Mus musculus: one gene and its partner. The protein of the gene in region 1 interacts with the protein of each later gene in a biochemical or structural test. Links are inferred from orthologs where the notes say so. Each region holds a gene or a part of one and is shown on either strand. Other genes may lie near its edges.

Evidence for each region.
Region 2: the proteins of Gabbr2 (region 1) and Kctd12 form a complex in vitro, tested with the Homo sapiens proteins (2 studies listed by BioGRID). The link is inferred for Mus musculus from reciprocal best matches to the Homo sapiens genes GABBR2 and KCTD12.

The regions. Positions count from the first base shown.
Region 1 is NC_000070.6:46,677,161-46,680,969, forward strand, and holds part of Gabbr2 (gamma-aminobutyric acid type B receptor subunit 2 precursor), read right to left. Parts: intron 493-3,809; coding exon 310-492; intron 1-309. UniProt on the Homo sapiens protein: Component of a heterodimeric G-protein coupled receptor for GABA, formed by GABBR1 and GABBR2. Within the heterodimeric GABA receptor, only GABBR1 seems to bind agonists, while GABBR2 mediates coupling to G proteins.
Region 2 is NC_000080.6:102,979,638-102,984,114, forward strand, and holds the start of Kctd12 (BTB/POZ domain-containing protein KCTD12), read right to left. Parts: upstream 3,001-4,477; 5' UTR 2,804-3,000; coding exon 1,820-2,803; 3' UTR 1-1,819. UniProt on the Homo sapiens protein: Auxiliary subunit of GABA-B receptors that determine the pharmacology and kinetics of the receptor response. Increases agonist potency and markedly alter the G-protein signaling of the receptors by accelerating onset and promoting desensitization.

The DNA of each region.
Region 1 (3,809 bases):
GGGGGACAGGTTCACCACAGCACAGCCACTCTGGGGAAGCTTATCTTTGTACTCTCTTACCATGCTGAGCATTGGGGGGGTGGGTATGGGGGTCCTCCTTGCAGATACTCCCAAGTTTTGTCTCTTTTTGAACACATTGGGGACTGTTGGACTCTGTCTAGGCCAATTGGCGCTAAGTTTGGGTCGGATGTGCTAAGCTCCCTGTTGCCATGACCCGGGCTGTTCTAGAGGACTATGGAGCAGGGATTGTTTGGAGACCAGGTAGAGGGAAGGGACAGGAGGATCGGAGGTCTCCAGCTGTGGACGTACCTCTGTGATCTTCATTCGTAGGCGGTGGTTTTCTGACTGCAGTCCCTCCAGGCGTGACGTGCTCGCCTGGTTCACGCTGGTGACTGAGGTGGAGGTCTTCGAATCTTCTTTCTTCTGGTTCTGTGTGAACTGGAATCGCCTGTTCTGAGTGGCTGCGTCAGGGTTTGTCCTCAGAGTGATGAGCTGAAGGGACAGAGGCGGCTTGCAGTGAGACTCCTGCCACTCTTCTCTCTCTCCAATCATGTTCCCCCACCAAGTCCTACATGGGAACTGACAGGGTCCCCCATCCCGGAAGGAGGCAGGCTGGGGCTCAGGAGCCCCAGGCCCTTGTTGGGCCCTGGCACAGGCTTGGGCATGAAGGGGGGACAGGCAGCTTCCCAGTCACTGAGCCTCAGAGTCCTTCTGGGATAGGAGAGTCAGCCTTCTGACTCTGGATCATTCACACCCTACCAGGACAGAGGCAGCCCAAGGCATTGGGCAGGATCCCACTGTGGAGAATTTCTACAACAAAGAGATAGAGGACAGGGAAGACTGCTCACACCATGGTGCGTTTAGAGACTAGCTGTTGACCTGTTTGTCCTGGCAAAGGCACTTAGCATCTTAAAACCCCTCACATCTGTTATCCTATAGGTTCTGTGGGGTAGGGGTCTGGACATGACTGAGCAGTTAAAAGTGATTTTTATTTTACTTTTAATGATGTGTCTATGTGCGCGTATACATGGGGTGGTTATGTGAGTGCATGCAATGCAGGTGGATGTGGAGACCAGCAGAGGGAGTTGGGTCCTCCGGAGCTGTAGTTAGGTGTAGTTGTGAGACACCTGACGGCATGCTGGGCACTGAGCCTGGACCCTCTGCAACAGCAATTTGGATTGCTAACTACCATAGCACCTTCCCAGCCCCATTGGGAAAATCTGAGACAAAAAAGTTGCCCCAAGACTCCAATCTTATCCACACATTCTAGAACCTTCTCTCGACCATGGTGGGCTCTAGGCTTAGCCCTGGAGACCAGGAGCGGAGTTTCCACAGCCTCCATTGGGACTCCTTAGCCTTGGGTGTGGGTGTGAAGAAGAGCTTCATTGTCATCCAGCCAGAAGGAATTAGGGATGCAGTAGCCATCAGGACCTGCTGTGCTGTGGGGGTGGGGGGTGGAGTGGTGGATGGGGGTGGGGTAGGGAGTCAGGGTAGGGGGGCAGTGGTCTGGAAGGGATGGTGGAGAAGGGAGATCCAGCACAGGCAAAGGACCTTAGGTGAGGGCTATCATCATCATCATCGTCATCATCATCATCATCATCATCATCATCACTACCATTATTATGTTTATCATCATGTGAGCACACAGCAAGGCATGCATGTGAGGCTCAGAGAACAGCTTTGTGGGGCTGGTTTTTTTTCTTTGCATCTCTATGTGGTTCAGGTTGTCAGCTCTTTGTGGTAAGGGCTTTAGCCTCTGACTCATCCTGCCAGCTTTTCTTTTCTTTTTCTAAAATATTCAATTTTTAAAAGATTTATATATATCTGAGGTCAGGCTGCACGGGTCCCCGAGAGGTTAAGGCTTCTTTATTCATGGCTGCAAAGAATAATGCTTGCAAAATATCTCTTCAAGTCGGTCCTCGCGATTGGTGTGACAGCCATATCCAACAGGGGACATGTGGCTGCTGAGAGCGCCGGAGGCCGCCCAACATGCAACCGTAAGCTTACTTGAAACTACGCCCTTTTCAGTGTGATTCTTAAAAAGGCAGTGGAGTTAAAAATTGGTTCTTGGGCATGAGCTCTGCAGAAGACAACATCTCGTCACCACGTCAAAAGTGTGATGCGCTTGCATTGTAAGATGTGGGTGGACACTCAGAGGGGCTGCTCCTTCTGACCCAATAATGCCACATCTAAGGCTGTCTACAGCACATGAGTGGGAACAAAAGAATGTGCTATGCAGAGAAAAATGTTCCTTAAAAATATCTACAATGGGAGCATTCAGCAATAAGGGATCGAGTGGATATTGAAGGCAACGGCCCCACCCTCATAATTCAGGTGGGTTTGGGAAAGGATGACGGGTGGGGAGCCAAGCAAAAGATGCAAAGGGAAAGAATGAGTAAGACCAGAGATGCAGTAAGACCAGAGATGGCTCGGTGGTTAGGAGAACCCAGGGCTCCTGCAGAGGACCCAGGTTTGATTCCCAGCACCCACATGGTTCACAACCCTCTCTAATTCCAGACCCAGGACTTCTGACCTCTGAGGGCACCAAGCATGCACACATTGCATATACATACATACATACATACATACATACATACATACATACATACATGCAAAATAGTTATATACATAAATTAACAAATTAATAAAATCCTCAAACTAAAAAAGCAAAAGCAAACCAAAAATGAAGACCGAGGTCTGGCAAGATGGCTTAGCAAGGAAAGGTGACTGCCACCAAGTCTCTGCTGCTCTGGGTTCGAGCCCCAGAACTTACCTGGCGGAGGGAGAGAACTGACTTCAGCAGGTTGTCTTCTGACAACGCATGCTATGGCAGTCCTGAACCCTCTCTTCCCCTTGTAAAATAAAACTTAAACATGTGAATTTAAAAGATCAACAGGAAACACATCAGGAGCGCCCAAACAAACATTAATAGTTTGTTAATTTGGGGTTGATGAGTTTGTGAAGTTTCTGGGGTCCTTGCTCTTCTCTTCCTCCTTCCTTCCTTCCTTCTTTCTTTTTTCTCTCTTTCTTTTTCTTTCTCTCTTCCTCTCTTTTTAGACAGGTCCTGGCTTTCCTGGAACTCACTCTGTAGACCAGGCTGGCCTTGAACTCAGGGACCCGCCTGCCTCTGCCTCCTGAGCACTGGAATTAAGCTGTGCACCGCCACTGATCTCTTCCCTTTCTTTCCTAATTTATTTTCTTTCTCTGTGTGAGGCGTGTTTTGGTGTACATATTTTTAATCTATATGCACAAGTGTGTGTGGGTGCAAGTGCACATGTGTGCACTTGCATATGGGGCCCCAAGTTGCATCCCTAGGGAATGCAGACTGGGGGTGCATCAGGCCCCCAGTTCTTCACCCTCACAACTGGTTTCCTGCAGAGGCCAGACCTTAACAAAGGGTATCTTTATAATTTTTTTCCAAACCTGGATTTCACCAATTCAGCAAGACTGGCTGGCCAGTGAGCTCAAGGATCTCCCTTTGCCTCCCCTGGGCTGCTAAGATGATGGGCATGCCATATGTAGCATGTTTTAAAACTTAACTTCCTTATCATCGAACTCGGATTTTATGCTTGCATGGATTGGAAGAGATTAAGGTAGTTCTCACGGGACAAAAGCCAGTCATGGTAGTGGTGCCTACTTGCAACTCCAGTGCTAGGAAGGCAGAGGCAGTTGACTCTTTGGAGCACTCTGGCCAGCCAGTGATAATTCATTTCTCAAAAATAAAGCAGGTGGAATCTGAATAACAATGCTAGAGGCTGTCCCCTGGCCTCTACCTGTGCACATGTACTTGTGTGTAGGTATACACAAAT
Region 2 (4,477 bases), on another chromosome or scaffold:
TAATTTAAACACTTCAAATGGCTCTTACAAAAATCCTTAAAAACATATTTCAGAGTAAGATGATAAAACAAACACACACACATACACAAAGGCTTCTCTGTAATCACAGATTATCCAAAGGACGTCTCTCAGAGGGAAGCATACGGGCATACCTCCTCTCTGCTGTGGTGTGGAAGCATACGGGCATACCTCCTCTCTGCTGTGGTGTACACAGGATACACACTGGGAATTCATTCCACGTGAGAGGAAAGGCAATAAGGCAAAGGTCCCCTGTTTCTGTTGCATTCACCTAAATACCGCGTTATTGCTCGGCTCACACTGAAGTACTTATTTGCCTTCATTTAGAAACATTCCACTTGACAGCTATCTACAGATGGGCAGCCCCCCCCCCCCGTGCTTCCGTTGATCTTTCGAATCTGTCACTGCAACGTCAAACAAACGCAGGAAAGAAAGAGCATTGTTCCGGTTTTCAGAACAGCCCAGCAGCCCACACTTGCTGGCCTTGCAGAAAACATCAATTTAAAAACACTACTGCTAACAATAATAATAATAATAATAAAGAGATCTGAAGTCTAAGTAATTAAAAATCAAACTTATTTTGCTTAAGTAAATAGGCTATAAGTGAGGAAATAGAATCAACAAGAAAAATAAATGTTCAAATCACTAAAAACTCTACTAGGTAACTCTTTGGTTAGGTTATACAAGTATTAGCAACTAAGTTTAGGACTCAAAATAGCTCGATAGACTTCCAGCTGAAGATGGGTCTTCTACTAATCTTGATAAAATCTAAGTTTACACGTACTGTTTCATATTTTTTTAAATGCGCACATACTCAAATGGATTATACAAACTTCCAACTTTCAAATAATAAATGAGCATGTCCCCCTCCTCCCTCCCGCCCTTCCTCCCATCTTTCCTCCCTCCCCAACCCTCCCACAGTCCTAGACCTAAGTAAGGGCTGACTGTCCCTACTAACCACTCCTGCGTTACTGGGTCACTGCCAGGTGACTTCTAGAAGCGCTGCCTCCCGCTCCCTGCCTGCTCCTAGCCTAGAAGCCTTAACCAACAAAACCTAAAGCTCGGCAAACAGCTGAAGAGAAAGGGCGCCTCCGCAGGCAGGAGGATTGCTTTCTACAATTTTAAGCCACAGGAGATCTAATGTGTTGGGGGTAAATAGAACTCTCCCCTGTTGCCAGTACTAGAATTTACTTCTACCTGTAACTTTAAAAACAAACAAAAAAATCTCTTTATTTACAGTCTCTGAACTGCGTCCTTGGGGTCTTCCAGCATACGGTCTACCATTCAATTGTCTAAAACTCTCTTTCTAATGAGGGTCAAATCTCTAACAACCTTTTAAAGCACTCTCTCCACACAGCACTCTCAGTTCTGATCTCTGAAACCGCTATGGAGTCAAAGGGTTTAAGATGTCAAGGACTCGTCCGAACTGCACGCCGGACACCGTGCAATCCGATTCTGATCAATTCAGTCATTCCCAGGTACTTGGTGACTGTCCCACTAGATCACGACAATCTGGGGGAAGGGTGGTTGGAGGCCAGGAGTAGAGGAAGCATGAGTGAAGGGCTACATCAGAACACTCTCTCGGCTAGTGGGGTCCAAAGATGATGAAGACGCCCAGAGGATTTGTGGCTGCAGATTCGCAAGTGGGGTGCAGACGGGTCTGGGTGACCTACTAGGAGATCTGGGGGTGGGGGCAGAAGGAATCGGGAAACAGGGAGGAAGCGAGGGCATCTATAATCCTGTCCCCCGAGGGGAGGAAGGGAAGTGGGCACCGGAGTGGCGAGGGGCGGGCGTGGGGAGCTCACTCCCTGCAGAAGACGTACTCGGTGTAGCTGGTCCAGATCTTGTCCTCGCTCTGGTCGGTGCTGCTAGCAAAAGCGCAGGTGCCCGTGGAGCTGCACGCCACCATGTGGAAGCCCGACTCGGACAGCTTATCGAAGGCCTGCTCTAGGAAGTTGAACTTGAGGTAATAGCGGGAGGTGTAGCGCTCCGGGGGCCGGTCGGGGTCCCGGCTCTCATTCAGGGTGTCCCCAAACACCTCCTTGGCCAGCGACGTCTTGCCGCACACGGTGATGCGCGCCACCCGCCGGAACTTGGCGTCCGCCTGAGCGTCGCGCCCGATGGTGTAGGAGCCGCGGTAGCCGATGGTGATGTAGCCGGAGCGCCGGCTGCCGTCCAAAGACTGGGACGGCGTGAGCAGGGGCCCCGCCGCGCCCCCGGACGGGCTGCGGCTAGCCAGCTCCAGCGTGGGCGAAGGCGCCCCGGCCGAGGCGCCCTCCTGCGGCTCGGGCTCTGCGTAGCCCAGCGGCAGCAGCTCATCGCCCAGAGAGCCCTCCTTGTGCACCCCGCGGCGCGAGTGCGGCGGCGGTGGCCCCGGACCGGGTTGCTGGGGCGCCCCGAGGCGACGCACGAGCTCCGGCAGCTCGAAGTACTCGGCCTCGCGCTGCAGCCGGCTGCGCTCCGGGAAGTAGTCGGGCAGCACGAGCTGCAAGTCCCGCAGGTAATCCAGGATGTAGCGGAAGAGGAAGCCGTCCCGGTCCAGAAAGAAGCGGCCTTTGCTGTCCCGGGCCAGCTCCTGCGGCTGCTGCTGCGTGAACATACGCCAGAGCAGCGAGTCGGGCACGGACACCACGGTGCAGCGCCGGGTCACATACACCTGCCCTCCCACGTTCAGCTCTACGATGTCCGGGAAGAGCGGCGGCTCCGCCGAGGACGACGACGAGCCGCTGCCACCTCCGCCTCCGCCCCCGTTGGGTAATCCTCGGGTGCTGTCCGCCAGAGCCATGGCCAAAAAGAGGTGGCCCGGATGGGCCAAGTGGCAGGGAGCGGGGTCGCGATCGGAAGCCCCAGCGGCTCTTATCGGGGAGCCCTGCGCTCAGGCGGCGGCCGGCCACTGAGAGCCGCGCGGTGCGAGCGCGCAGCAGTGCGCCCACGAGAGCCCCGGTGCGCTGCGCCTGCCTCGCCCGCGCGCTCCAGGCGAGTGGCGGGTCGCGGCCCGCGCGCCGCTTAAGTAGAGCCGCCCGCTTGGGCGGCGCGGCGCGCAGGAGGCGGTGGGCGGCTGCGGAGCCGCTGAGCTCGCTCCCGGGGCGGGGAGGGCTGGGGCGGGGTGGGGGTGGGGGAGGAGCGGGGAATGCATTTGCATGCTAAACGCTGACGCGGCTCGGGGCTGCAGGCTCCACCCTGACCCGCGCGCTCCGGGGGACGACCGGACTGTCACCGCCCGTCCGCCCACCCGCTCCGGGCCCAGCTCCTCTTCCTCTTCCGCAGTGGGTCAGAGCCTCCAGGCGCTTCTCCAGGAGGCTGATCACTAAAGCGATCCTCTTGTGTTCCCACCTCCCCTCCCGCCGCCCTTCTCGGCTGACCGCAGCCGGCACCCGGGGACTCCAGAAGGGGTTGGAAACTTTCTGGCAGAGTGGAAAAGCTTGATTGCCTGCGGCTAGCGCCCTCTAGACCTACCCGCTTCTAACAGTGCAGAGCGCTGCTGTTGGAGATCCATCCCCGGGTCTCTGGAAGTTCTGAAGAGACACTAACTTGGAAAGGATGCACCGGTCCCTTCAAGTCCAGACCACCCAAAGGTTTTTCACGTGACTATGTGACTAGCGTATAGCCTCGAAAAATCCCTAGAAACCACAAGCGAATGCTTCGCGAAAATGCTCTGTTAGATTATTTTGCGAGAGCATAAAGTCTTTGGTTAGGAAACCACAACACAGTACTGCAGTGAGCAGAAATGACTAGGAGAGGAAGTTGGGTGGACACAAAGGGGGGGGGAGGGGCTTACACTGCGTGGGCAAGAAAAGCTAATAAGCGCCTCCAATAGTGGGACGTGAGGCCTCCGGTTGCTTTCAGCCATCTGTAAATCGCACCAGAAAATTCCAATCTAATATTTTCTTTTATTCGTATTATTAGTATTTAATGATTTTACTAGTATTTCATTATTTTACTAAAATTCCGCTGATGTTTTATTTGTTCCTTGAAATGTTAATGCACGTATAGAAAATAATTTACTTTTAGCCCATGCATAACTGTTCTAAAGGTCCAGTAACCCGTGTTCTCCTCCTCCCTCCATCGTTCTCTTCTGTACTTTACAAGACCGTCCACCAGAGAAGAAAGGCTGTGTAGGTCTGAAGGCCCTTCAGATTTAGCCATGCTCTCTATGGACTCCTACTTGTTCAGCGTTTGGAGTCATGCACAAATTTCAGCCCACAGAATTCTGCCACTGCCGGGAAACCTTCCATGGTCTCCCAGGGGAATGAGACAGGTTGCTCTTCAAATTCCCATCTTTGCACTTGGCACGTTCTGAAATCTCAAATTTGTGGTCTGTTATCTGATCGTTGGTTTTTGGTGAATAAATAGATAAGGGCTTCAAGAAGCCCAAGATAGAGGAGACTCTGAAAAACCACAATTTTAATAAATGCTCTTATACGTTGCTGGGCATCAGGCTGTGGAGAATTCAAGGCTG